Linked DNA regions of Stegostoma tigrinum. The protein of the gene in region 4 binds, or shares a complex with, the protein of the main gene of each other region. Links are inferred from orthologs where the notes say so. Each region holds a gene or a part of one and is shown on either strand. Other genes may lie near its edges.

Evidence for each region.
Region 1: ranbp2 (region 4) and nup188 share a complex: the UniProt entries of both Homo sapiens proteins name them as parts of the nuclear pore complex. The link is inferred for Stegostoma tigrinum from reciprocal best matches to the Homo sapiens genes RANBP2 and NUP188.
Region 2: ranbp2 (region 4) and cetn3 share a complex: the UniProt entries of both Homo sapiens proteins name them as parts of the nuclear pore complex. The link is inferred for Stegostoma tigrinum from reciprocal best matches to the Homo sapiens genes RANBP2 and CETN3.
Region 3: ranbp2 (region 4) and nup98 share a complex: the UniProt entries of both Homo sapiens proteins name them as parts of the nuclear pore complex. The link is inferred for Stegostoma tigrinum from reciprocal best matches to the Homo sapiens genes RANBP2 and NUP98.

Annotation. Positions count from the first base shown.
Region 1 is NC_081382.1:33,834,763-33,842,328, forward strand, and holds the start of nup188 (nucleoporin NUP188), read right to left. Parts: upstream 3,016-7,566; 5' UTR 2,968-3,015; coding exon 2,939-2,967; intron 1-2,938. UniProt on the Homo sapiens protein: Component of the nuclear pore complex (NPC), a complex required for the trafficking across the nuclear envelope. Required for proper protein transport into the nucleus.
Region 2 is NC_081356.1:93,260,204-93,267,299, reverse strand, and holds the start of cetn3 (centrin-3), read right to left. Parts: upstream 3,021-7,096; 5' UTR 2,942-3,020; coding exon 2,925-2,941; intron 1-2,924. UniProt on the Homo sapiens protein: Plays a fundamental role in microtubule-organizing center structure and function. As a component of the TREX-2 complex, involved in the export of mRNAs to the cytoplasm through the nuclear pores.
Region 3 is NC_081359.1:111,734,730-111,741,990, forward strand, and holds the start of nup98 (nuclear pore complex protein Nup98-Nup96), read right to left. Parts: upstream 3,005-7,261; 5' UTR 2,751-3,004; intron 2,652-2,750; exon of another isoform or gene 2,377-2,651; intron 1-2,376. UniProt on the Homo sapiens protein: Plays a role in the nuclear pore complex (NPC) assembly and/or maintenance. NUP98 and NUP96 are involved in the bidirectional transport across the NPC. May anchor NUP153 and TPR to the NPC.
Region 4 is NC_081359.1:65,882,469-65,889,306, reverse strand, and holds the start of ranbp2 (E3 SUMO-protein ligase RanBP2), read right to left. Parts: upstream 3,017-6,838; 5' UTR 2,850-3,016; coding exon 2,775-2,849; intron 1,538-2,774; coding exon 1,470-1,537; intron 1-1,469. UniProt on the Homo sapiens protein: E3 SUMO-protein ligase which facilitates SUMO1 and SUMO2 conjugation by UBE2I. Involved in transport factor (Ran-GTP, karyopherin)-mediated protein import via the F-G repeat-containing domain which acts as a docking site for substrates.

The DNA.
Region 1 (7,566 bases), on a different chromosome or scaffold from region 4:
TGTATTCTAGGTAGCTGTGGGAGTCGGTGGGCTGGAAATGGACATCAGTTACAAGCTGGTTGCCTGAGATGGAGACTGAGAGGTCCAGGAAGGTGAGGGATGTGCTGGAGATGGCCCAGGTGAACTGAAGGTTGGGGTGGAAGGTGTTGGTGAAGTGGATGAACTGTTCGAGCTCCTCTGGGGAGCAAGAGGCGGCGCCGATACAGTCATCAATGTACCGGAGGAAGAGGCGGGGTTTGGGGCCTGTGTAGGTGCGGAAGAGGGACTGTTCCACGTAACCTACAAAGAGGCAGGCATAGCTGGGGCCCATGCGGGTGCCCATGGCATTATCTCTAAATTTTAATGACTTGTCTTGATAAAAAGACTGAAAATGTTTTGTTTTTATTGAATCCAAATTTAACACTAACAAATTTGTATGTCATTGTGTTTAATTCTGCTATCGTCCAGCTCCAAATTTTAGTAGATATTTTCTGATATAGAAAGCAGAGCCAAAAATTCATCGGAATTTGCTATTCAGGTTTGGAACATGGAGGCCCTATTCTATACTGCACACTCCTCTCCTTGCAGCATTGTCAGTGTATCTAACCCCTGTGGATTGCAGTGCTTCAAGAAGGTACTTTACCACTTACAGAGAATTTAGTGGAGGTACTGCTGACTAGGTCAGCATTGCCACATCCCATGAGTGAATTTTAAGAATTCTGACCCAGATTCAAATCATGTTGAAAGAGGATACATGAATCCTGCATGACCCAAAAGCTATTAAAAACTCCTTGTTAAATTTAAGCGGACGCACACCTCACAGCGCCAGGGACCTGGGCTCAATCCCAGCCTCAGGCGCCTGTGTGCGTTCTCTGTGTCTGTGTCTGTGCTGATTTTGTCCAGAAGTTTCCTTCCACAGTTCAAAGACGTGCAGGTTAGGTGAACTAGCCATGGGAAATACAAGTTTACAAAGATAGGGTGGGGTGGTGAATTTGGGTGGGATGCTCTTTGGAGAGTCAGCATGGACTTGTTGGCTGAATGGCCTTTTTCCACACTGGGGCTTCGATATTTCTACAATAGAAGCTAGCAGCTCCAGTCTGAGGAGAAACAAAACTTCTTTTAATCCCTAGAAAATATTTTAAGATTGAAAATAATTTTCAAACAAATGCTTTTTTAAAAAGAAACTTTACACCAGGGACTGGGGCAGCAAAAGAAAATTGCAGATATTAACTTTAAAGACATAATACATAAAGGGAGTTGGTAGACCAGTGGCAAAATAGCAGTCCCTAAACCCTTTATTTGATGGCCAAAGAAGCTAGTGCTGCCCAAACATACCATACATCAAGCAGGTGGCACGAAGTGCATACCACAAAATGTGACTCATTAACAATAAGTTGCATTTATACAGAATTCAGAGTGGAATCAAAGAGCCAAGTAACCAGCTGCAGTGCTGGAATGACGAGCATGAACACAGGAGAATATCCCAAAGCTCTACACAAGGTAACAGGATAAAATTAAACCAAGCCAAATAAATATTACAACAGGTAACTAAAAACTTCAAAAGAAAAAAGATTTAAAGGGAAATCTTAAGGGAAAAAAGAGAGGAAGAGAAAGGAAATGTTGAGGAAAAACACCTTGGATGTACCACTTAATCGTGCAAGTCAAAATTATCCTGTGAACAAACAAATTTGTCCTGCACAATTGTCAAGATGACACAGAATCATTGAAACCCTACAGTGTGGAAACAGGCCCTTTGGCCCTCCACGTCCATACCGAACCTCAGAACAGCCCACACAGACCCATCCCTCTATAAACCACCTAATCTACACATCCCTATGGGCGATTTAGCTCAGTGAATGTCTCTTGAATGATAGCACCAACATCATTCAGCAGAAAAAGGACACTTCAAAATCAAACGACCTAAAGTTCTGTCACTGAAGAACAAAATCAAAAAAGTTAATATTTGCACTTAAAACATCAACTATTCTTTGCTCCCCACATTCTGGTTGCATGATATATTGGCCATATTTAATCAAGTATCCATAAAAAAAATCTGAACTTCATATCAAGATGATAACAAGTTTACTCCACCATCACTGACAAGAAACTATTGTAACTGCGTGGGCTGCTAACTGTAGAACTCACCAAGCACTACAAAAGTTGTGTTAACAGTACTAGCTCCTCATACTGTCTCCACTGGGTGAAATGAGGGAGAAAATAAAAGGAGAGGTTTTTTTTAAACAAGAAAACTGTATTTTTAATGTTGAAATACAGTCAATTGAAACAAAAGTACGATCCCAGTAACCAGTCAGTCTCATTGACACTATTATAGGAAAGAAATTGCACTGCACTAAACTTTCCTTATATCTTGAACTGGAATAGCCAGACACAGATTAGATGGGCAGACTAAAACTGAATTGTGGAGATGTATGGACTTCTAAATTATAGACGCTGGAACTGCTTTTCAGTGTTGGTAACGACCCGAGAGTATCAGGTGCTATTTGAAGATACTGCAGAACTTTTCAGATCATTGAGCGACAGGAAGGGGGTGGGGGGTTGAGAGAACAGAAACAGTTTCCTGTCAGATTCTCGTAAATTTGTGTCCCTTAACGGAGCGAGGGGAAAATAAGTTACCGGTACAGCCACAATGTACAATGGTCTATCTACGAAGTGAACAAGTTAAAAATCTAAAATTATGATCCCAAAAGAACCAAAACCCTTTCCTGGCACGATAGAGTTTGAACGTAAACTCGTGTTCACCGCGTTCTCATCCATTTACCAACTGTAGCCCCGCGCTCCCACAGGAACCACACACACAGATAGACAGACAAATACCGGCCACCGGGTCTTGTTTCCGAGAAAACACACTTGCTTCGCAGAACTGATCGGCGCAAACTCAAACTGTGCTTTCCATTTTGTTTTTTAAGAAAAAAATAAAGTTTCATATATTTCATTTTACCTCACGTAAGGGCCCGCCGCCGCCGCCATTGCCAACGCACTCACGTGACCAACATCCAAGCCGACCCACTGCACGTGACCATCCATGGGTGCCACGGCCCTCTGCACGTGACTTCAACGGTACTGTTCGTGTCACGTGATTGGCCTTTCATTATGGCCGCCTCCTGGAAGGTGACAGGTGAGTCTATTTGGTGAGAGATAGTAGGAAAGGTGGATGCTAGAGAATCTGAGATAATGAGGTGTAGGGCTGGATGAATAGAGTATACTAAGTAGCATTAGAGGAGCAGGAAGGCTGAGGTTTCGGGTCTATCCCTGAAACCTCAGCCTTCCTGCTCCTCTCTTGCGTTTGGTGAGATTGGTTTTTCTTAAAAAAATATGCACATTAGTTTTAGTCTAGATTTCTTTTCCGCTAGATGGTAATATTCATTCTATCATTATTTTCATTTCTCTACGAGTAATCGAACGCTTTTCTTGCACCAGCGAATTCTTATAAATGGCTATCCCTTGCTATTATTCTTTATCGAAGGCCACTATAGAGATCTGGCTGAGAAAATTATTTCTTTTACTGTTTGACTCCGCTAAAATCCATGTTTTGTAAACCGTTCGTCTGATTTTTTTTTTTAAACGATATTCCGACCCCTCCCTCTCGTTTGAATTTTAACTGGACAGTTAGGGTGTGTACCTTATCTATCTGGAACTAAATGAACAGCTTAATCAAACCATTGCTGTGCTGAAAGACTTATTTGACTATCAGTTTACGTTATCTACCAGTGGTTTGCTATATTTGACTGACACCCCTAATATAACAATTGAAATTTGAGTACTAAACTCTTGATTGTTAATTTTATTTTGCCTGCTTGGACATTTTGTACTGAGTATGTGCAATCTGTTTTCTGAACCCCGCTGTTGCCAATGGGTTGCTGTCAACTGTTTCCATCTAAATACACTCTCAAACTTTCCTTGTCTCATTCGAGTAGAATGAAATTTTGTAAATTTGGTTTCAAATGCCACTGTTTGATGTGCCCTTGGAAAAATAACTAGGAGTTGGTGTCTTTGAAACTGATTACTTGCTGACATTAAACTTTTTGCGTAGGGATTATCAAAGATCGGGTTTTCAACATTGGCCAGTCACTCTCACTGGTTAAATTTAAAACAAAATTTACTCCCAAATGTGTTTAAAAAGCCATGAAATTCCTGACTAAAAATCAAATCAAGGTATTAATACCCTCTTAACATCCTACGTGTGTATATAACGGTGACGTCACAAGTTGCAAGCATATCTTTAGACTCTAAAATTCGAAGAACAATGAAAAATTGCTGGGTTTGTTTCTGTTCTTATGAATGGACTATATTCACTGATGGTCGTTCATTTGTTATTCGTGAAGAAGGAGAAGTACATACATTGTAATGACATTCACTTAAATTTTGCTTTTCAACAAAACACTGGTTAAAGTCATATGTAGTGTGTTAAATGCATTTAGCTTTCACTATTATGGTAGTTAAGTAGCTGCAGATACAGCAATAAACATCAATTCTTGAATCTCATTTCTGAAAAATTGAATCAGTCTGTACTCAGTGGTAGATCCCTCACTAATCAGTCAGTTTGTTGGTTCAAGTCCCACTGTTGAAAATTAAACACAATAGGTATCCAGATCAGTGTGATGCTAAAGGAATGCTACACTGCTGGAAGTTTGTTATTTCAGAAGGGAGGTTTTAAAAAAGGCCCCATTTGATATACTGGGTGAATGTTGAAGATTTATAACATCTTTTGGAATAAGAACGGACAAGTTCCCCTTAGTGTTAAGGCTAATGTTTATCCTTCAACTATCACTAAACAGATTAGCTAGTCATTATTTCATCGAAGATTGTGTAGCCTTGCTGTTTGCCAATTGCCTACTAAGTTGCCACAGTGACTACATTCAGTATTTACTTGACTGTAAAGAGTTTAGGGCACCCTGAGTTTACATAAGGTGCTGAATAAATGCAAGTTCTTTCAAACAATAGACTAATGATGAGATGTAAAAAAAATTGTCTAAACTTTAGGTAATTGTGATTTCTCATTTGTCCTGAATGAGCAGTTTTTGATGATTTTTACTTGTCTTGAATTCGTGATATTCAAACTTAAAGTTTTTGTTTACTGATTTTCTCCAATATGCCTTGGTATTTTGCAGTCCAAGGTTTGCAAACTCATTTTCTCTGTCCTTTTATTAAAATCTAGGTTTTCAAATTACAGTTAGAACTTGGTTTTAATGAACATTAATTATAAGCTTCATTTTTAAACAAATCCTAACTTTGAGAACTGATGGTAGTGTCCTGGTGAGTGTTGCTGAACAAAGAGACCTAGGGATACAGATTTGTAGCTCCTTTAAAGTGGAGTCACAAGTAGACAGGATGATGAAGGCGGCATTTGGCATGTTTGTCTTTACTGGCCATAACATTGAGTGTAGCAATTGAGATGCTGTGCTGTGGTTGTACAGGACACTGGGGAGGCCACTTTTAGAATACTATGCACAATCCTGGACATCTTTCTGTAGCAAAGGCATTGTTAAATTTGAGAAGGCGCAGATTTACAAGGATGTTGCGGTGTCTGGAGGATTTGAGTTTCAGGGAGAGGCAGCATAGGCTAGGGCTTTTTTCCCTGGAGTGTCAGAGGCCAGGGGGTGACCTTACAGAAGTTTATAAAATAATGAGATGCACGGATAGGGTGAATAGTCAGGTCTTTTCCCCTAAGGTGGGGAAGTCCAAAACTTAAAGGGTTTAAAGTGATAATGGGAACTGCAGATGCTGGAGAATCCAAGATAATAAAATGTGAGGCTGGATTAACACAGCAGGCCCAGCAGCTTCTCAGGTGCTCCTGAGATGCTGCTGGGCCTGCTGTGTTCATCCAGCCTCACATTTTATTATTAAGAGTTTAAAGTGAGTGATTTTAAAAAGGACCCGAGGGGTTTTTTTTTACGCACAGGGTGATGCATGTATGGAATGAGCTGCCAGAGGAAGCCATTTAGGCGACTTTAAATTACAACATTGATATGAGTAGGAAGGATTTAGAGGGACATGGGCCAAATGCTGGCAAATGGGACTAGGTCATATTGAGATGTCTGGTTGGCGCAGACCAGTTGGACTGAAGAGTCTGTTTCTGTGCTGTATGACTGAACAGCCATCCCTCCAGGTTTCCACTTCCAATAAGAGGAATTGTATTTTGTGAAGAGGTTTAGTTTTATCCATATGTACAAAAAATAATCAGCTACTGCATTTAAAATCTGTCATAATTTTCCTAAGAAAGAAAACTTCCTGCTTCCATATATCTAATCAAATATCTTGTTGCTCATTCGCATGCTTTGTTTCAAGCTCAAAAGATATAACAAAAACCTTACCAGCAGAAATAGGAAACTAATCTATGAATTATATGTTATTCTTATCTGTGGGTGATGGTAGAAGAGTGAATTTCACATGTAGCACTGTATTTGGACAGAGATCTTGAAATCAAAATGTTTAGTCACCAGGGAGAAAAAAGACAGTTGACGAAAGAACAGAATAAAATGCCCAGAATCACAAAGGGTAGGAAGTCTGAATAATTCAGTAAAGAAAAACATTTGGTGTAACTTTATTGAAGCTGATTTAAAAGGCTATGGAATATTGGTCTCTATACCTCAAGAGAGCTGGAATACAAAGAGGTACAAGTAATGTTACAGTTGAACAAAGCTCTGATTTAGGACCCAGCAAAAGGCACTCAGAATATCAGTGGAAGATTAAAGATCATTTGAAGATGATTAAAATAGGCTAGTAAGACCACACTGTGCTGTGGTGAAAGAACCCAGAACTAGGGAACACAACCTTAAAAATAGAGCTCAGCTGTTCATAGGTGAGGTCTGCAAGCAATTCTTCACATAATGGCTGACAGAAGTCCAGAACTCTGTCCCAAAAGGCTGTTGACTTTGGGTCTGTTGAACGTTTCAGAACTGAGATTGATAGATTTTGTTAGCAATGGCATATATGGAATTAAGATACAGATCCATTATGATCTTATTGAGTGACAGGAGAAGCTCAAGAGGCTGAATGGTCTACTCCTGTTCCTATGTCACAATAGAGAACACAAAACACAGTGCACAATCAATTCTTGTCTTAAATTTATGAGGGCAGAACTTGTACACTGCATCTGCTGCAGTGGCAGATACCACACATCGTCTATGCTCTTTGTCAATAGAATGTTTGTTTCCAGTTAGTTACATCAGATAGATGGTACATACATCAGGCAGCTGAAGCCTGCTCAGTCCAAGTACCCTTAATTCAGCAAAGTGATGCTGTCGGTAGTACTATAACGTTAGTGATTCTGCATCAGTAACTACTTGTTTTCAGTAGAATTTTTGTATTTGTTGCTTCTTAACTTGTGGCTCCCTGCATTCAATCTATTCTAATCTGATGGCATTTCCAAGCAGTACTTGGCATGTCTAACAAACTGTTGAATTTCACCCTTGTAATTGATTTACTGAGACTCCTTCGGCTGATTCACAAGTGGATGAAAAGCCTCACTATAACATTTGGCACTTTTAGGTTATAATCTAACTGTAACTAATACAGTTTACGTTACAATCTCTATTCCAGGTCTGGCAGTCAGTTAGATCTACCCAG
Region 2 (7,096 bases), on a different chromosome or scaffold from region 4:
CGAACCAAACTTCTCTAAATTTGAAGAAAGACTTCACTACTCCTGTAGCTAAATGGTTTGCAATAAAAGCTAGCATTCTGTTAGATGTCTAATAGCTTGTTGCACCTGACTGTTAACTTTCAATGAGTTATCAAGAAGGACACCTTGGTCCCTTTGTACATCTATACATTCCAAGTGGTTTCCATTTGAAAATATTCCACACATCTGTTTCTTCTACCAAAGTAGGTAACTTCTTTACTTTTGCCCACATTATATCCCATCTGCCGTGTTCTTGCTCACTCACTGAGCCTTGTCTAAATCCCACTAAGCAACATTTTATCTTCCTTACAAAACATGTTCTCATTTAGCTTTGTATCAAATCATAATTTGGAAATACAGTTTTAAAATAGTGATGACGAAGGATAGAGCGGATCTAAGTTAAAGTTCTAAATTGAAGGAAGGCCAATTTTGACAGTATAAGGCAAGAACTTTCAAATGTTGGTTGGGTGTGGATGTTTGCAGGTAAAGGGATGGCTGGAAAATAGGAAGCTTTCAAAAATGAGATAGCGAGGGTCCAAGAGAGAATCTGTTAGGGTGAAGGGCAAGCTTGATCGGTGTAGAGAATGCTGGATGACTGGAGAAATTGAGGTTTTGATCAGGAAAAAGGAGGCATATGTCAGGTATAGACATGGAGTGAATCCTTAGAGTATAAAGTCAGTAGAGTATACTTAATGAGGAAAATCAGGAGGGCAAAAAGGAGACTTGAGATAGCTTTGATAAATAGATTAAGGAGAATCTGAAGCAATTTTATAAATACATTAAGGACGAAAGATTAACTAGGGAGAGAACAGGGCTCCTTTTGATTAGCAAGGCCACTTAAGTGTGGAACCGCAGGAAATGGGGGAGATACTAAATGAGGATTTCACATCAGTAGTTATTGCAGAGAAGCATATGGAAGATAGGCAACATAGGGAAATAAACAGTGACATCATGAAAAATGTCCAAAATACAGAGGTGGTGATGCTGAATGTCTTAACATGCACAAAGTGAATAAATCCCCAGGACACGGGACAATCAACATAGCTTTGTGCTTGGGAAATCATGTCTCGCTGACTTGAATGAGTTATTTGAAGAAGTAACAAAGAAGATCAACGAGGGCAGAGCAATGGACATGATTTATTTGAACTTCAGCAAGGTGTTCAACACGGTTCCTCATGGTAAGCTGGTTAGCACGGATAGATCAAATGGAATACAGTGAGAACTAGCCACTTGGATACAAAACTGGCTCAAAAGGTACAAGACAGAGGGTAGTGGTGGAGGTCTGTAACCAGTGGTGTACCACAAGGATCAGTGCTGGGTGCACTGTTTTTTGTTATTTATATAAATGATTTGGATGTAAACATGGGAGCAATGATTTGTAAGCCTGCAGATGACACCAAAATTGGAGGTGTAGTGGAAAGCAAAGAAGGTTACTTTAGAGTACAACAGGATCCTGATCAGAGCGGCCAAAGGGCCGAATAGTGAAAGATGGAGTTTAATTTAGATAAATGTGAGGTACTGCATTTTCCCTGGAGTGACGAAGGCTGACGGATGACCTTAGAGACATTTATAAAACCATAAGGGGCAGTGACAGGTTAAATAAATAAAGATCTTTTCCCAGGGTAGGGGGGTCCAAAACTGGAGGGCATAGATTTAAGGTGAGAGAGGAAAGATTTAAAGAGGACCTAAGGGGCAACCTTTGCATGCAGAAGACACTGCCGGTATGGAATGAGTTGCCAGAGGAAGTGGTGGAGACTGGTACAATTACAACATTTAATAGACATCTGGATGTGTATATGAATAAAAAGGGTTTAGTAGGATGTGGGCCAAATGCTGGCAAATGGGATTAAATTAATTTAGGATATCTGGTCAGCATGGACGAGTTGGACCCAAGGATCTGATTCCGTGCTGTACACCTCTACGACTCAGACTCTAAGTCATTGATACGCCACACACATAAATATTGTGAACAGCTACGGCCTAAGTATTGGTCCTTGTGTTACTCCACCAGTTACAGCCAACCAGCCTACTACAAAAATAGTCAAATCAGAAAAACAAAAATCACAAAACAGAAAGACTGGTTGGCAAGTCAACTGATTGGGGTCTCGGCCCGAAACGTCAGCCTTCCTGCTCCTCTGATGTTGCTTGGCCTGCTGCGTTCATCCAGCTCTGCACCTTGTTATCTCAGATTGTCCAGCATCTGCAGTTCCTGCTATCTCTGATTGAACAGATGTTGCCATGGAGAATGCAGCAGGGGTACTGCAAGCTCCCAGCTAATTCAAAAACTCACAACGCTTGGGTATTCTTCTTTTATTGGCAAACAGAAGGGTCCCTGCACGGGTGTATGTCACCTCCAGCAACTGAAGATCCACAACTAATGATCCTAAAGCGGTGGCTGATGTGACTTGTATCGAGTTAACCGATAAATTCCAGAACATCGTCGGGCACTGAGGCTACACATGCCAGATACTGGCTAATCAAATGAAAAACAGCAGCGACAATACTCACACACGGTTAGATGGCACTGTGCAGCACAATCCTAACTACTAAACCAAGCAGTAGCGTAACTGAGGCCGAATACAAAGGCACTTGATGCCGATGGAAGTGTTGAGAGACTACGGGTAATTCAGGCGTTTAAAAGGACAAGCCGTTGTGTAGGAAACTGTCAACGGCGGTGTTAGCGTTCGGCCTCCTCACCACAGGGCAGTGATAGAAACTGCCCACTGGCGACATAGAGGCCGCATATTTGACATAAACTGTACAAAAAAAAGAGAAATCAAAGAGGACGCCGTTTTGGGATCACTGACCTCCCAACCCCAACCCCAACCCCACCAAGAAGGCGGGGGGGAAATCAGGGTTTTTGTTTTTCAAGGCTCTCCGTTCAATGACACCAAGCAGCGACCTACCTCAGCGGGAAACTCATCGCAGCCGTAACAGAGCCCGACTGCACTCAACGAAACCTGGAGGACGTACCAGCGCCAAGACCCACCTTCCGACTCTCCTCTGTGCCCATTCGGCAGAATCGGGCATCACCAGCTCCGCTTACGATAGGACAACCTGCAAACCACATCCTCCAATTGGGTAAGAGAGGTGTCAATAATGTGATGTTCGCCAACCGTCAATGGAAGCTCGCTGAGCGCGGTTACACATCAGAGGCCGTGGGCGGGGTTCGTGGCGCAGAGAGTTTTGCTGGGAGGTGCGGAGGCCATAGGTAATCATTCCAGACAGACTACAGACAACTGTTCTCACAGTATATAAAATACTTTGCAAAAACTGGCAGTCAGAATTCAAAAGTGGTGTTGATTGTATCAGAGTGCATACTAAACTGTGCATCAACCCACCGAATTCAACTCGAAGGTCAAAACTGGGAAGGATCATAAACCAGTAAAGGCATCGGAATTTACTGTGGAGAAAGACATGGCAGCTTGGGAACTCCGGAAAATAAATAGGAATATCTTGAAAAGAGTCCACGTTACAAAAGAGGTGGTGCTGGAGTTATTAAAATACATAAGGTAGATAAATTCCCGGGACCTGACCAAGTGTATTCCAGGATGTTGTGCGCAACTTCGAAGATAGGAGCAGGAGGCGGCAATTCAGCCCTTCATGCCTGCTCTGCCATTCATCACACATAGCTAATCATCTAACTCAATAGCCTAATCCTGCTTTCTCCCCATAACTTTTGATCCCATTTGCCCCAAGTGCTATATTATCTAGCCACCTCTTGAATACATTTAATGTTTTGGCATCAACTACTTCCTGTGGTGATGAATTCTACAGGATCACCAACTCTCCGGGTGAAGAAATGTTCCATCTCCGTCCTAAATGGTATATTGTAAATCCTTAGACTCGGACCATTGACACACCCAGACTCAGGGCGCACCCATCATCGGGATCATCTTCCCTGCATCTACAGACTGGACCTGTTAGAATTTTATTAGTTTCTATAGGATCCCCCCTCATTTGTCTGATCTCCAGCAAAAACCATCCTATTCTAGTCAATCTCTCCTCATACGTCAGTCCCATCATCCCTGAAATCAGCCTGGTACAAAACTTCACTGCACCGTCTCGAGATCAAAAGCATACTTCTTCAGAAAAGGAGACCAAAATGGCACACAATATTCTAGGTGCAGCCTCACCAAGGCTCTGTATAACTGCCACAACACATCACTGCTCCTGTACTCAAAACATCTTGCAATGAAGGCCAACATACTATTTACCTTCTTTACTGCCTGCTGCACCTGCATGCTTAACATCAGTGGCTGGCACACAAGGACACCCAGGTCCTGCTGCACACTCCCCTGTCCCAATTTACAGCCATTCATGTAGTAATCTGCTTGTTTGTTTTTGCTTCCGAAGTGAATAACCTTACATTTATCCAAATTATACTATAAATGCCTTTGATTTGCCCATTCACCCAACATGTCCGACCATGCTGAAGGCATCTACATCATTGTTACAGTTCACCCTCCCATCAAACTTGGTATCATAAGAAAACTTTGAGATGTTACATTTTGTTCCCTCATCAAAATCATTTAATATATTGTGAATAGCTGGGGTCCCAGCACCACTCCCTATGGTATCCCACTAGTTACTGCCTGCCAATTTGAAAAGGGCCCATTAATCCCTACTCTTTGTTTTTTCTCTGCCAAACAATTTTCTATCCATCTCAATATACTTTCCCCCATCCCATGCACTTTAATCTTGCACAATAATCTCTTATGTGGGACTTCTGTCAAACACTTTCTGAAAGTTCAAATATACCACATCACCTAGCTCCCCCTTGTCAACTCTACTAGTTACATCTTCATAGAATTTCAACAGATTTATCAAGCATGATTTCTCCTTCATAAATCCATGCATTCCCTGTCTGATCCTGCCACTGCTTTCTAAATGCCCCATTATAAAGTCCTTGATAATGGATTTGAGAATTTTCTCGACTACCAACATTAGGCTTACTGGTCTATAATTCCCTGTTTTCTCTCTCCCTCCCTTTTTGAATCTTGGTGTGACATTATCTACCCTCCAATCTGCAGGGACTATTCCAGAGTCTATAGAATCCTGGAAGACGACCACAAATGCTTCCACTACTTTTCGGAGCTAGGGAAGAAATTATGGGCCCCCTAGCAGAGGTATTTACATCACCTATAGTCATAGGTGAGGTGCCATTATTTAGGAAAGTCTGCAGGAAAAGGCAGGGAACTACAGTCAGGTGAGTGTACCAATGGTGGTTAGGTTGTTGGAGGGGATTCTGAGAGACAGGACCTTCAGGCATTTGGAAAGGCAAGTACTGATTAGGGGTAACAAAGTGTGAAGCTGGATGAACACAGCAGACCAAGCAGCATCTCAGGAGCACAAAAGCTGACGTTTCCGGCCTAGACCCTTCATCAGAGAGGGGGATGGGGAGAGGGTTCTGAAATAAATAGGGAGAGAGGAGAGGCAGACCGAAGATGGAGAGAAAAGAAGATAGGTGGAGAAGAGAGTATGGGTGGGGAGGTAGGGAGGGGATAGATCAGTCCAGGGAGGACGGACAGGTCAAGGAGGCGGGATGAGGTTAGTAGGTAGGGAATAGAGGTGCAACTTGAGGTGGGAGGAGGGGATAGATGAGAGGAAGAACAGGTTAGGGAGGCGGGTACAAGCTGGGCTGGTTTTGGGATGCAGTGGGGGGAGGGGAGATTTTGAAGCTTGTGAAGTCCACATTGATACCATCGGGCTGCAGGGTTCCTAAGCGGAACGTGAGTTGCTGTTTCTGCAACCTTCGGGTGGCATCATTGTGGCACTGCAGGAGGCCCATGATGGACATGTCATCTAAGGAATGGTGGGGGGGGGGTAGTTAAAATTGTTCGCGACTGGGAGGCGCAGTTGTTTATTGCGAACCGAGCGTAGGTGTTCTGCAAAGCCGACCCAAGCCTCCGCTTGGTTTCCCCAATGTAGAGGAAGCCACACCGGGTATCACTGATTAAGGGTAGTCAGCATGACTTTATGCATGGAAAAACATGTCTCACAAAGTTGATTGAGTGTTTTTTTTGAAGAGGTGACCAAGAAGACAGATGAATGCATAGCAGTACACATTGTCTACATAGACTTTAGCAAAGCCTTCAACAAGGCCTGGGCATGGTAGACTGCTTAATAAAGTTAGATCTCAGGGGATCGGGGGGAGCTGGCCAACTGGATACAGAATTGTCTTGACGATTGGAGACAGATGGTAATGGTAGAAAATTGTTATTCAGACTGGAAGCCTGGGACCAGCAGTCTGCTGCAAGGATCAGTGCTGGGTCCACTGTTGTTTCTCAATTATATAAACTATTTAGTTGAGAATATACAAAGTATGGTTAATAAGTTCGTGGGTGACACCAAAATTGATGGTATAGTGGACAGTGAAGGAAGATTATCTCAAGCGAACAACAGGATCTTAATCAGATGGGCCAGTGGGCTGAGGAATCGCAGTGGAGTTAAATTTAGATAAATGTGAGGTGCCGCATTTTGGTAAGATAAACCAGGACAGAACTTACAGTTTATGATGGGGGCCTGGAATGAGTTCTTAGGTACATAGTTCCTTGAAAGTGGCGTCACAGACAGGGTGGTAAAGAAGGCAATTCGCACACTTGCCTTCATCAGTCAGAGCATTGAGTACAGGAATTGGGATGTCATGTTATGGCTGTACTGACATTGGTAAGGTCATATTTAGAGTCCATATAGACAAGTTGAGCTGAAGGCCTGTTTCTGTGCTTTATGATTCTATGGCTCTAAGTCACATTCAATTACTGGGTGGGAACCAAAGTTTTTCAATCACATCTAGAGTTAGGCAGGGCTGCTCACTCTCTTCTGCCTTGTTTGCATGTTGCAGAGAGCCTTTTTTTCTGAATCCATCAGGAAGGATGTGAGCCTGAGTATGATGACTATTCCAGGCAGGAGAGGCCTGCAGGTCAAAGTCACCCTGTATCGGGATCATATCACCATTTTCTGCTTGGATTCACTGTCAGTGTATAGAATCATGAACATCTGCGACCAGCTTGAACTGGCCTCATGAGTAAATTAAGGCAACAGCAAGATCATGTTCTTTGGGAACTGGGCTGACCGA
Region 3 (7,261 bases), about 46 Mb from region 4:
CTTGACTAGATGATGCTCACAAACATAATTAAATTCTAGGGAAATGGAGAAGTCCTGAAAAGCAGCAGGGCTGGAGGTGGTTATAGATATCAGAGGGATGAGGCCATGGAAGGATTTAAAGGGGAGAGGAGAAAAAAAAATCAAACTACTGCTGGAAGCAGGAGCCAATTTAGGTGAGCAAGAATAAAGACGGGGCTGAACTGCCCACGAATCATACTAGAAACAGCAGAGTCTTCTTGAGGGTAGAAGGTGAAACTGCATTAAAACAGTCAGATCTAGAGGTCAAAAAGAGTCACAAACGAGGGGTGCAGCAGGAGACAAACTGTAGATGGGAAGAAGATAGGTTAAGCTACAGGATGGAAACAGGCAGCCTTCAGGTTAACAATAAGAGTCTTTGGCAAAACTAATGTCATATTTGATCCAACAGACTGGTTCAGTATCAGCATAGACCAGGAGTGAAACACAGTCATGATGTGTAAGTGGAATTTGCAGCAGGGACTAAAGGCAATGATTTCAAATCTTCATGTTGGTTAGCTGGAGATACTCATCATAAACGCTGAACTCAGCTTTTAGTGAGGACAGAAGGATTCCAGCTAACAACTAAAAAAGAACAACCACAAATGGGAAGAGCATATTTACAAACTGTCACTGGCAGCCGTATTCTAACTTGTATATCTCCCCAGAATTCTCATTCCGGAAGCAAAGCAGCTATGCGTAAGTTACCTGCTAATCTTACTTAAACTGACCAATATTTTCACAGGACAATGGTTTCAGGTGAATACAACAGCTCTACTCAAGGAGGTTACAATGAGGGAAAGAGGTCATTCAGCCCCTCATGTTGGTATTGTGTATAAACAAGTGTTCTGCATATATCTCAAAATTCAACTCTGCTCCAAAAAGGGGCTGTTGTAGCAGAGTGGAGTGGTAACATCCCTATTCCTGGGATAAGTGGCCTGTTCAAGTCTCACCTATTTCAGAAGTGTGTAATAACATTTTTCTAATCAGAGACAAGTTAAATTTAGAAAAAACTCTACTCCAAATTCCATTAACCACTGAGGTACTTTCTCTGGAATGCATCCAATGTCAGTATATCTTCCCTTAGATAAGGGGATCAAAACTCTTCACAGTTTTCAGCTGTGGTCTGATCAACACCTTGTCCAATTTCAGCAAGATGACACTAAGCTTATATTTTATTCCCTTTGCCTTCCCCATTACACACTGAACTTCAATGCTAGCTTTTTGTGATTCATGCACAAAAGAGCCCCCTACCCCTTGGAGTTGCAGCTTTCCACAGTCTTTCTCCATTAAAATAATATTCATCTCTTCTACTCTTCCCGCCAAAGTACATAACCTCACATTTTGCGATGTTATACCCATCTACTGAGTTTTTCCAGCCATTCATTTAACTGTCTATATCCCCCTAATCTCTCTCACACTCACTGCTTGCTTTTTCACCTGTTTTTAATGCTATCCACAAAGGTGGCTACAGTACATTCAGCTTCATTAATACAGACAGTAAATAACCGTAGCTCCAGAACTAATCCCTGCACACACTACTAGTTACAGGCAGTCATCCTGAAAACAAACCCTCTACTCAAACTCTAGCTATTAGCTAGCCAGTCCTCGACCCAAGAAAACATAACATACAAACATATCCATGCCCACACCATTAAGTAGTCTGTGTAGTTCTGGAATGAGCGCATTTTGGATGAGCAAATATCCAGTCTCTTGTTATATCAAAAAACTGAAATAAATCTGTGACATGAGGCCATGCTGACTCTGCCTGATCATATTAGCATGCTCCATATCCTTTATAACATACTCTGACGCCTTTGCAGCTACAGATTCACTACATGGGGCAGCTTGTTCCTGGACCTGAAATGATAACTCAGTACCTGGAGTGAGAAACAGTCAGAGCCGTTGAGCTTGTCTGGGAGTTTGTTTCTCTAAACCCGCCCTGTCAAGATCAGTCAGTATTTTACTATTTTTCAGTTTGCCTTTTGGCCTCTAAAGAAGCCTGGCCTAGTTAACTTTTCCTTACTATCAACACACACTTAATAGACCAATAAGCCGAAATACTGCGGCGCAGGAGGCCGTTCGGCCTATCCCCTTCATTCTTGACCCGGATACAAGGGGAAAACAGTCCAATCAGACCCCCCCCGCCATGTGTCTGTGAAACCGTGTCGGGAAACCTGCCTGACCCTCCCCCCCCCGGAAAGTGGGGGCCGGCTCGTCGGGAGGGTCCCCGCAGCTACAGCGCCTGATTGCTGGAGCTGACCTTTCCCATACCCCGAACCCCGTCAAGGCCCAGGCTGGTTAATCCACCCACCCCCAATCACCGGGATCCAAGCCTATCTCTGCTCAGGCCTCACTCACCGCCCACTGCCAGCTCGGATAGCCTTCCCTATAGTCAGTCACTTCATCCGCTCCGTCCCGGTTACACACTTCAAGTAGCCCCCGAGGCGGCTGAGGTTCGACCACACGCCTAGGCCAGGCACCGCCTACTTCTCCCACGTGACATCTACGGGACACGCCCACGCTGCGCGCACTGATTGGCCAGTCTTAACATCCGTCTGGAAAGGTGTTCGTCGATTGGATTATTTGACTGTCAGTCAAACTTGATTCGCAACAACATTGGCTAATAGACGCAAAGGCTCCCGAAAAGGCAGCGCCCTCACATTCCATTGGTCATTTTCTCGACCGGAAGCCCCGCCCACCCACAATCTTGACAATCCCATTGGTCGCCTTACATGTCATTCAGGACTGGGCAACGTGGGCCTTAGACGGAGTGTTCTGGGGCCATTCGCTCTAGCTGCAGGTCATGAAGGCGAAAGCCGCGAATTCTCGGGCCTTTGCCTTTCTTGCTTCTCCCGCCGGCAACAGTTTCGGGAGCTCGGTTACCATCTCGGTTCAGCCTGTTTCCCATACGCACATAAACCTGCGATCAACTGTCACTCCAGGCGGGGTCAGTAGTAAAACATAGCGGCGTCGGTCCCCACTTGACCCTCTTTCCCGGTCCGGTGTTCCCCGCAGTCCCTCACGTCAATCAGCCGCATCCGCCGTTCCGATTGGCTGTGCGACTTGGGCTCGCCCCTATGACGGTGCGTGATTGGTGTATTCAAACAATCCTGCCTGTTACAGCGCTGCTGCTGTTGTTACCCGCTGCGGCCCGCCTCTTAAAAGGGCAATTCCTCCAAATGGTCCATAGGAGGTGAGGAGGCCCTTCAGTCCTGCAGGTTCCTTTTGCGCCTCAACTGGATGGTCGCTGCGATAGTGGGAACTGCAGATGCTGGAGAATCTGAGATAACAAGGTGTGGGGCTGGATGAACACAGGCCAAGCAGCATCAGAGGAGCAGGAAGGTTGACATTTAAGGCCTACACCCTCTGATGAAGGATCAGCCAGAGGCCTCGGCAACTGTTTCTGGAGATGTCTGCCAAATCTCATCATAGTGGCTGGCGACATGTAAATTTGAACAATAAAATGTAGAATGTAAAACTAATCTCCATGATGATGACCATGAAATAGTTAATGGTTGTTGTATGCCCCCAGAAGAAACCCTAGAGGAAACAGGCCTGGCAGCCTCTGGAGAGTTTATTAGATTCAACATCAAATTTTTGTATAATCCCTGTGGGAACGTGCCATTTGGCCCAACGAGTCCAAACCAGCCCAGACGAGCATCCCAACCAGACTCTCCCTCTTACCCGAAATAATGGGAACTGCAGATGCTGGAGAATCCAAGATAACGAAGTGTGGAGCTGGATGAGCACAGCATCTCAGGAGCACAAAAGCGGTCTCGGCCCGAAATGTCAGCTTTTGTGCTCTGAGATGCTGCTTGGCCTGCTGTGTTCATCCAGCTTCATACTTTGTTATCTCCCTCTTACCTTATCCCTGTAACCCTGCACTTCCATTTCCCACAGCTACTCTGCCAAACCCACACATTCCTGGACGTTGTGGGCATTTTAACATGGCCAATGCACCTAATCTACTCATTTTTTTGGATTGTGGGTGGAAACCCATGCAGGCAATCAGCTGAGGCTGGAATTGAACCCAGGTCCCTAGTGCTTAAGGCAGTAGTGCTATACCACTGAGGCACTCACTGGGGACGCAATGGCCTAGTGGTATTATCACTGGACTGTTAATCCAGAGACCTGGATAACATTCTGGGATCTGAGTTCAAATCCCACCATGGCAGATGTTGGAACTCGAATTCAATAGAATATCTGGAATTATGAATCCATTGTTGATTGTCAGGAAAAACCTATCTGGCTCACTAATGCCCTTTAGGGAAGGACACTGCCATCCTTACCTGGTCTGGCCTACATGTGACTCCTGACCCTCGGCAATGTGGTTGACTCTTAACTGCCCTCAGGGTAATTAAGGATGGACAATAAATGCTGCCTGGCCAGTGATGTCCTTATCCTATGAAAGAATTTTTTAAAAAACTTGATTTAATTCTTTTTCCGTAGGACAGGGCAATAGCCTTATGATCCAGAGATCCCAGTAATATTCTGGGGATCCAGATTTGAACGGAATGTGTATGGCTGATGGTGGGACTTAACTTCAATAAAGTATTTGGAATAAAACTGGTGTGGATTTAGGAAATTCTGTCTGGTTCATCAATGTCCTTTAGAGAAGGGGACTGCCATTCTTTCCTGGTCTGAACTAGATGTGACTTACCAACCCACAGCAAGATGTTGACTCTTAACCGTCCTCTGAAATGGCTGAGCAGGCCACTGATCAGATTAGATTTTGTATGCTACAACATCTTGATTTTTAAACTTCTCAAGATTATTTCAAAATACCTCCGCGGACGCACACTTCCCTGTCTCTCTAATTTCTGACTGGCCCGCAACCCTCTGGCATATCCATGCCATCCCAATTCTGGCCTGTTGTGATATCCCCAATTTTCATCAATCCTGCCTGAGTGTTGCTGAACAAAGAGATCTTAGAATGCAAGTTTATAGTTCTTTGAAAGTGGAGACACAGGTAGATAGGATAGTGAAGAAGGTGTTTGGTATGCTTTCCTTTATTGATCAGTGTATTGAGTATAGGATTTGGGAGGTCATGTTGCTGAAGTATAGGACATTGGCTAGCCTGCCTTCGGAATACTGCATTCATTTCTGGTCTCCCTGCTTTAGGAAGGATGTTGTGAAACTTGAAAGGGTTCAGAAAAAGATTTATAAGGATGTTAGATAACAAGGTGCAGAGCTAATGAACACAGCAGGCAAGCAGCATCATAGGAGCAGGAAGGCTGACGTTTTGGGTATCGAAGGGTCTAGGCCCGGAACGTCAGCCTTCCTGCACCTCTGATGCTGCTTGGCCTGCTGTGTTCATTCAGCTCTACATCTTGTTATCTTGGCTACTTTTTCACACACAGAGGGTGGTGTGTGCATGGATTCAGCTGCCAGAGGAAGTGGTGGCGGCTGGTACAATTACAACATTCAAAAGGCATTTGGATGTGTATGTGAATAGAGGGATGTGGACCAAATGCTGGCAAATGGGACTAGGTCAGATGGGGGTGTCTGGTCAGCGTGAATGAGTTGGACCGAAGGGCCTGTTTCCATGCTGTACAGCTCTATGACTCCATTGGTGGCCTTCAGCAATGTGGGCTCTGCACTCTGGAATTCTCTCCTGAGTTTTCTCTGTCTCTCTTTCTCCATGCTCCAATAAAATTTTGTGCATCATCTTGTACTTATTTAGGCTTTGAAGCACGTGCAGAAGGACATACAGAAACATCAAGACCTGCCTCATTCAAAGAAAGAGAGCAAGTGATGCAGAGGGCCCAAACAGATGAAGACATCATTGCCAGTGCCTGTGGTCGAGTGCTTAAAATCAGGGACATTTAAGAAGCCAGAATTACACAAACAGATTTCAGAGAGTTGTGGGATTGAAGGAGATGACAGAGATAGGGAGGAGGCAAAGCCACGGAAAGAGTTAAACACCAGTTAAAGAACCCTGTAATCGAAGCAACCAACATGGATCAAGGAACACAGGAGCAGAGGGTGAATAGGGTTTGCCACAAGTTTCTACCTTTTTGTTATTGCAAATTACTGAGGATAGGAAGTGGGAATCCTGCAAGAGGAGCATTAGAGTAATCAGAGCTTGAGCATAAATGAAGGTTCCAGAAGCAGATGTGTGGAGATAGGGATGAATCCAGGCAATATTAGGGACCTGGGTGATGTGATAATTTGGTTGAAAAGTCATCATGGGATTGAATGCGAGACTAAGGTTTAAACTGGTACGTTTCAGTCTCAGTCCGGTGTAAGGGCCAGGAATGGATTTGGAAGCCAGTGACCAGAGTTTATAGTGGGGAGCAAAACCAATATTTTCACATTGTTCATTTGGAGAACCTCTATCACATGGTACTGAATTTTAGTCAAACTGTATGACAACTGAAGCTCATGCAAGGGTGGGTCTTTGGTCTTTCTCTTATCATTGAGTCAGAGTCAGAGTGCAAACAGCATGGAAAGAGGCCCTACAGCAGCTTCTCTTTCTTTTTCCTCTGGTCCCCTATGATACCATAAGATAAAGAAGTAGAATTAGGCCAATCAGTCCATCAGGTCTGCTCCATTGTTTTATCTTGGCTGTTAGGTTTCTCAGCTCCATTTTCCTGCCTTCTCCCTGCTGTGATCCCCTTACTTATCAAGAACCTATCTATCTCTGTCTTAAATGCACTAAATAACTTGTTCTCCACAGCCCTCTGTGGCAATGGGTTCCACAGATTCACCACCCTCTGGCTGAAGAAATTCCTCCTCATCTCAGTTCTAAAGGGTTGTTCCTTCACTCTGAGGCTGTGCCTTCAGGTCCCAATCTCTCCTACTGATGGAAACATCTCCACATCCACTCTATCCAGCCCTGTCGGTATTCTGTAAGTGAGTTTTGAGAAGATTTGTAGCTCAGGTTGAGGATCTGGATGTGAGTTTGCTCGCTGAGCTGGAAGGTTAGTTTTCAGACGTTTCGTCACCATTCTAGGTAACATCATCAGTGAGCCTTCGACGAAGCGCTGGTGTTATGTCCCGCTTTCTATTTATCTGGTTAGGTTTCCTTGGGTTGGTGATGTCATTTCCTGTTCTTTTTCTCAGGGGATGGTAGATTGGCTCCAAGTCAATGTGTTTGTTGATGGAGTTCCGGTTGGAATGCCATGCTTCTAGGAATTCTCGTGCATGTCTCTGTTTGGCTTGTCCTAGGATGGATGTGTTGTCCCAATCAAAGTGGTGTCCTTCCTTATCTGTATGTAAGGATACGAGTGATAGTGGGTCA
Region 4 (6,838 bases):
TTCCAGTCCAGGCAGCATCCTGGTAAACTTCCTTTGCACCCTCTCCAAAGCCTCCGCATCTTTCCTATAACAGGGCGACCAGAACTGGACACAATACTCCAAGTGTGGACTCACCAGGGTTTTGTAGAGCTGCAGCATAACCTCGCAGCTCTTAAACTTGATCCCCCTGTTAATGAAAGCCAAAACACCATATGCTTTCTTAACAACCTTATCCCCTTGGGTAGCAACTTTGAGGGAGCTATGCACTTGAACACCAAGATCCCGCTGTTCCTCCATACTGCCGAGAATCCTGCCTTTAATCCTATATTCAGCATTTAATTTCGACCTTCCAAAATGCATCACTTCGCATTTATCCAGGTTGAACTTTATCTGCCATTTCTCAGCCCAGCTCTGCATTCTGTCAATGTCTCGCTGAAGCCTGCAATAGCCCTTGATACTACCAACAACACCTTCAACCTTTGTGTCATCAGCAAACATAATAACCCACCCCTCAACATTCTCATCCAAGTCATTTATAAAAACTACAAAGAGCAGAGGCCCAAGAACAGAGCCCTGCAGGACACCACTCAGCACTGACCTCCAGGCAGAATACTTACCATCTACAACCACTCTCTGCCTCCTGTCAGCCAACCAATTCTGAATCAAGAGAGCCAAATCACCCTGCATCCCATACCTCCTGACTTTATGAATATTTTCAGCATACAAACAGATGTTTTCCTTCCTCAGAAAAGATGGCAGCTGGGGTGACATTTCTGATGAAGGGTCTAGGTCCGAAACGTCAGCTTTTGTGCTCCTAAGATGCTGCTTGGCCTGTGTTCATCCAGCCCCACACTTTGTTATCTTGGATTCTCCAGCATCTACAATTCCCATTATCTCAGACCTAAAACGTTAACTGGTCGTTTCTTCACAGATACTACTATACCTGTTGAGCTTTTCTGGCAACTTGTTTTTGTTCCTGATTAGCATCCATACCTTCAGTTTTTCAGTCACAGGCTATAGAATACTTTCCCTATAGCTCTCTGCCTCGCCTTCCTCCTTTAAGGCACAAAGGACCTGCTCCTACGACAGTTTTTTGTTATCTGTCTTTTTAAGTCAAATGGCTCAGTCTCATATACCATATTATAGTGCTTTTTTCAAGCACATCAGGACAATTCACTATTTTAAAGCACTGTAGGAGTTGATCTTCCTCTCTGTATACATTACATACACACTAACATCAGGAACAGAAAAACATCTGGTAACAGAATACAATTGGAAAAGTTAGAGTTTAAAACTGGATACAGAGAACAAGATGGATAACATAAGTATTTTAAAAGATTTCAGCATTTATATTGTTTCTTATCACTACAACATGGATTTTGTGGTTTTGATTAGTCAGCCAACTTTAGTCAGTGCATAAACTGTAAAACTTTTAGGATAGCCCAAGGAGATTTGTTTTAAAATAGCACATACTGGAAAAAATTCTTTACCTCTTTGCAAGTTCATACTCCTTGGCTTCATAATAGAGTTTTGCAAACAAAAACCCTTTGAGGGATTTCTGAAAAGGAAGTTGGAAGGTGATGTGAAATAGACAAAAATTTAAAGAGTACACTTCAGAAAAATTCCTGGGGATATACAAATTTGTTTAACAGCTCGCTGCATAAAATTCATCAATCGGTACAAACCATTATTACATCTGCAAACAAAATAAGAAGTCAATGAACTACTTGTAGCAATTCGTATATTTCACATGCTGATGTGAATAGAAACTATCTATTAAGCCTCTATCAGAGATAATGGGAACTGCAGATGCTGGAGATTCCAAGATAATAAAATGTGAGGCTGGATGAACACAGCAGGCCAAGCAGCATCTCAGGAGCACAAAAGCTGACGTTTCGGGCCTAGACCCTTCATCAGAGAGGGGGATGGGGGGAGGGAACTGGAATAAATAGGGAGAGAGGGGGAGGCGGGCCGAAGATGGAGAGCAAAGAAGATAGGTGGAGAGGGTGTAGGTGGGGAGGTAGGGAGGGGATAGGTCAGTCCAGGGAAGACGGACAGGTCAAGGAGGTGGGATGAGGTTAGTAGGTAGCTGGGGGTGCGGCTGGGGGTGGGAGGAAGGGATGGGTGAGAGGAAGAACCGGTTAGGGAGGCAGAGACAGGTTGGACTGGTTTTGGGATGCAGTGGGTGGGGGGGAAGAGCTGGGCTGGTTGTGTGGTGCAGTGGGGGGAGGGGGTGAACTGGGCTGGTTTAGGGATGCAGTGGGGGAAGGGGAGATTTTGAAACTGGTGAAGTCCACATTGATACCATATGGCTGCAGGGTTCCCAGGCGGAATATGAGTTGCTGTTCCTGCAACCTTCGGGTGGCATCATTGTGGGACTGCAGGAGGCCCATGATGGACATGTCATCAAGAGAATGGGAGGGGGAGTGGAAATGGTGTGCGACTGGGAGGTGCAGTTGTTTGTTGCGAACTGAGCGGAGGTGTTCTGCAAAGCGGTCCCCAAGCCTATTAAGCCTCTATGACTAGTTTAGTTTCTTCAAAAGCGGGATCAAAACTGAAAGTCTGGATGAGCTTAGTTTATAGAATCCAGCATCGCCAAACTTCAAGAGACCACTGCCGCCTGCACTATGAAACAAAGTGCTAAACTACAGCTGCTTAACAAATTGATAGATTTTTGCTTAACTCCTCAGAACACAACCGCAGAGCCTGCGAGGGGCGAGGCCTAGGAGCTGAGGCCACAATCTGCACTGCCCGCGCTTTCCTGGCCAGCGCAGCCCGCAGCGTTGGACACTCACCTCACGGGGCGACAGCGGCGTGACGCCCTGCACCGAGGCAATGTACCTATCCACCTCGGCCTTGCTGCGCATCATGCCTCAGGCCGCTGTGTGTACAAGGTTTGATAAACGCCGCTCCTCAACAGACCAGTTCCGGTCCTACACCATCCCTTCCGATGGTGAACACAGAGCTTTCAACACCGGTTCCGCGATGCCGCGCGGCCAAACTGTGCCTAATGGCGCACACTGCGCCTGAGCCTTCGCCCGACGCTCGCCAATCACAGGCCTGCCGCTGACGTCACAAGGAACGCCGGACGTAATCCCGAGGTAACGGCCACAACGTATGCGAGATTACATCCAAATCTCGCGAGGTTGAAGTTTTGGATTCGAATGAGCAGTTTTATTTTGATGCTCCATAGTGAGAGGTTTAATCCGGTCACTGAACGTGTGTTCACACATAAAAGGTGTAATCTTTTGTCACAAACTCACAGGAGGTCAGTTTATTTTGTGCAAAAACAGAAATTGCTGGAAAACCTCGGCAGGTCTGGCAGTATCTGTGAAGATAGATTAATAAGAGAACTCACTTATTCAGAAAGGGTCAGGACGTGTAACGTTATCTCTGCATTCTCTCCACAGATGCTGCCAGACTTGCTGAGCTTTTCCACTAGTTTTTGTTTTTGTTTCAAATTCTGGCATCTGGTTTCGAATCTAGTTTGTATTATGTCTTTATTGCATTGGCACTAAATTGAATATTTTGTAGTGAGCAAAAGGCAGGTTACTATGGCAAACCATGAGCACTTGAGTACCACTCTGTGTACTTTGTGTTGTATTTCTATGCCGAACAACATTTTCAGTTGCAAAAATAACAAAATTGCATGGCATGTGTTACTATTTACAATGTGGGACACCGAAACTACCAAATATGCACGTGTTCCAATCTATTATATAAAAAAAAAGAACTGCAGATGTTGGAAATCAGAAACAAAAACAGAAATTACTGGAAAACTCAGCAGGCCAGGCAGGATCTGTAAAGAGGAAGACAGTTTACATTTCACATGCAGTGACTCTTCATCAGAAAGATTCTAATAAAGGGTCACTGGTCTCAAAAGGTTAACTCTTATTGACTGGCTACTAACAGTGAAAAAAACTGCTCCATTGTATGAATTTATGCTCCTGCAGTTGCAACCATAAATTGATGCATTCATTTCCACTGTACACAATTGAAATGACAACTGCTCTAGGCAAGTTGTAGGTTACCACTTGGGTTGACTTTTTCGAAGTCAGAAGTTACAGGACCCTCGGCTATAGTCGAACAGGTTTATTTGAAATCACAAGCTTTTGGAGCACCTTCATCAGGTGGCTTTGACTGCTGAAGCCAGACAGGAGTGTTGCCTCCCAGTCAGGAAACAATTCAGCAGTCAAAAGTATTCAGCCTCCGATTGTTGGGTAAGCATCCTCCAAAGTGGACTTCAAGAAACACAACAATGCAGAAACACCAAGCAGGGACTGATAACCAAGTTCTGTACCCATGAAGACGGCCTCAACTGTGATCTTGAGTTCATGTCATGCTACATGTGACCTCAACGCACTTCTGCACCTGTAAAGTCTTCCTTATTGGCTGTTTTGACACCATCTCCTTGATAAATTGTCATGATCTCTCATACTTACTACTTTGGTTAGGCCTTCAGCATGTGACTCTTATACCTATCATGTTATTCCAGTCATTTAGTATGTCTCCAGCAACATCTTGCTTTTGATTTTTTGTAATTCTCTCTCTGTCTCAATTAGCCAGATTATAGATCATCCCTTCACTGGGTAATCAGCTGTTGACACTTTTCTCACGGTCCAACACTCATGGTCACCTGCAGAGACTTATTATCTGACACTCCACCCACACCAGTTAGCATGATCTTTTGATCTCTGAGCCCTTGATCTCTCTGCCTATAAACTCTATGTCTGTGTGCTTCTCTCTCACTGCACCCGATCAAAGGGCTACACTCGAAAAGCTTGTGATTTGCAATAAATCTGTTGGGCCAAAACCTGGTGTCCTGTGAGTTCTGACTTTGTCAACCCCAGTCCAAAACCGGCACCTCCATTTAATGATCTCGTCAATATATTGAACGTTGCACCCTGACTGACTCCGCAGTGCTCAACTCTGGAAATGGGTTACTAGTCTTATCAAAATTAAATTTGGATTTCTGCTATTTCAAGATAACAAGTTGTGGAGCTGGATGAACACAGCAGGCCAAGCAGCATCTCAGGAGCACAAAAGCTGACGTTTCGGGCCTAGACCCTTCATCAGAGAGGGGGATGGGGAGAGGGAACTGGAATAAATAGGGAGAGAAGGGGAGGCAGACCGAAGATGGAGAGAAAAGAAGATAGGTGGAGAGGAGAGTATCGGTGAGCAGGTAGGGAGGGGATAGGTCAGTCCAGGGAAGACGGACAGGTCAAGGAGGCGGGATGAGGTGGTAGGTAGGAAATGGAGGTGCGGCTTGAGGTGGGAGGAAGGGATGGGTGAGAGGAAGAACAGGTTAGGGAAGCAGAGACAGGCTGGGCTGGTTTTTGGATGCAGTGGGGGAAGGGGAGATTTTGAAGCTGGTGAAGTCCACATTGATAACATTGGGCTGCAGGGTTCCCAAGCGGAATATGAGTTGCTATTCCTGCAACCTTCGGGTGGCATCATTGTGGCCCATGATGGACATGTCGTCTGAGGAATGGGTGGGGGAGTTAAAATGATTCGCGACTGGGAGGTGCAGTTGTTTGTTGCGAACCGAGTGGAGGTGTTCTGCAAAGCGGTCCCCAAGCCTCTGCTTGGTTCCCCCAATGTAGAGGAAGCCACACCGGGTACAATGGATACAATATACCACATTGGCAGATGTGCAGGTGAACATCTGCTTGATATGGAAGGTCATCTTGGGGCCTGGGATAGGGGTGAGGGAGGAGGTATGGGGGCAAGTGTAGCACTTCCTGTGGTTGCAGGGGAAGGTGCTGGGTGTGGTGGGGTTGGAGGGGAGTGTGGAGCGGACAAGGGAGTCGCGGAGAGATTGGTCTCTCCGGAAGGCAGACAAGGGTGGGGATGGAAAAATAGCTTGGGTGGTGTGGTCAGATTTTAGATGGCGGAAGTGTCGGAAGATGATGCGTTGTATCCGGAGGTTGGTGGGATGGTATGTGAGGGCGAGGGGGATTCTCTTAAGGCGGTTGTGGCGGGGGTGGGGTGTGAGGGATGTGTTGCGGGAAATGCGGGAGACGCGGTCAAGGGCGTTCTCGACCACTGTGGGGGGAAAGTTGCGGTCCTTGAAGAACGTGGACATCTGGGATGTGCGGGAGTGGAATGCCTCATCCTGGGAGCAGATGCGGTGGAGGCAGAGGAATTGGGAATAAGGGATGGAATTTCTGCAGGAGGGTGGGTGGGAGGAGGTGTATTCTAGGTAGCTGATGGAGTCATTGGGCTTTAATTGGACATCAGTTTCTAGCTGGTTAGCTGAGATGGAGACAGAGAGGTCCAGGAAGGTGAGGGATGTGCTGGAGATGGCCCAGGTGAACGTGAGGTTGGGGTGGAAGGTGTTGGTGAAGTGGATGAACTGTTTGAGCTCCTCTGGGGAGCAAGAGGCAATGCCGATATAGTCATCAATGTAACGGAGGAAGAGGTGGGGTTTGGGGCCTGTGTAGGTGCGGAAGAGGGACTGTTCCACGTAACCTACAAAGAGGCAGGCATAGCTTGGGCCCATGCGGGTACCCATGGCCACCCGCTTAGTCTGTAGGAAGTGGGAGGAATCGAAAGAGAAGTTGTTGAGGGTGAGGACGAGTTCGGCTAGGCGGATGAGGGTTTCGGTGGAGGGGGATTGGTCGGGCCTGCGGGACAGGAAGAAGCGGTGGGCCTTGACGCCATCTGCATGGGGAATGCAAGTGTATAGGGACTGGATGTCCATGGTGAAAATGAGGTGTTGGGGGCCAGGGAATTGGAAGTCCTGGACCAAAGGGGAGAAAATGGAGTCCAGATAGGTGGAGATGAGTTCAGTGGGGCAGGAATAGGCTGAGACAATGGGTCGACCAGGGCAGGCAGGTTTGTGGATTTTGGGAAGGAG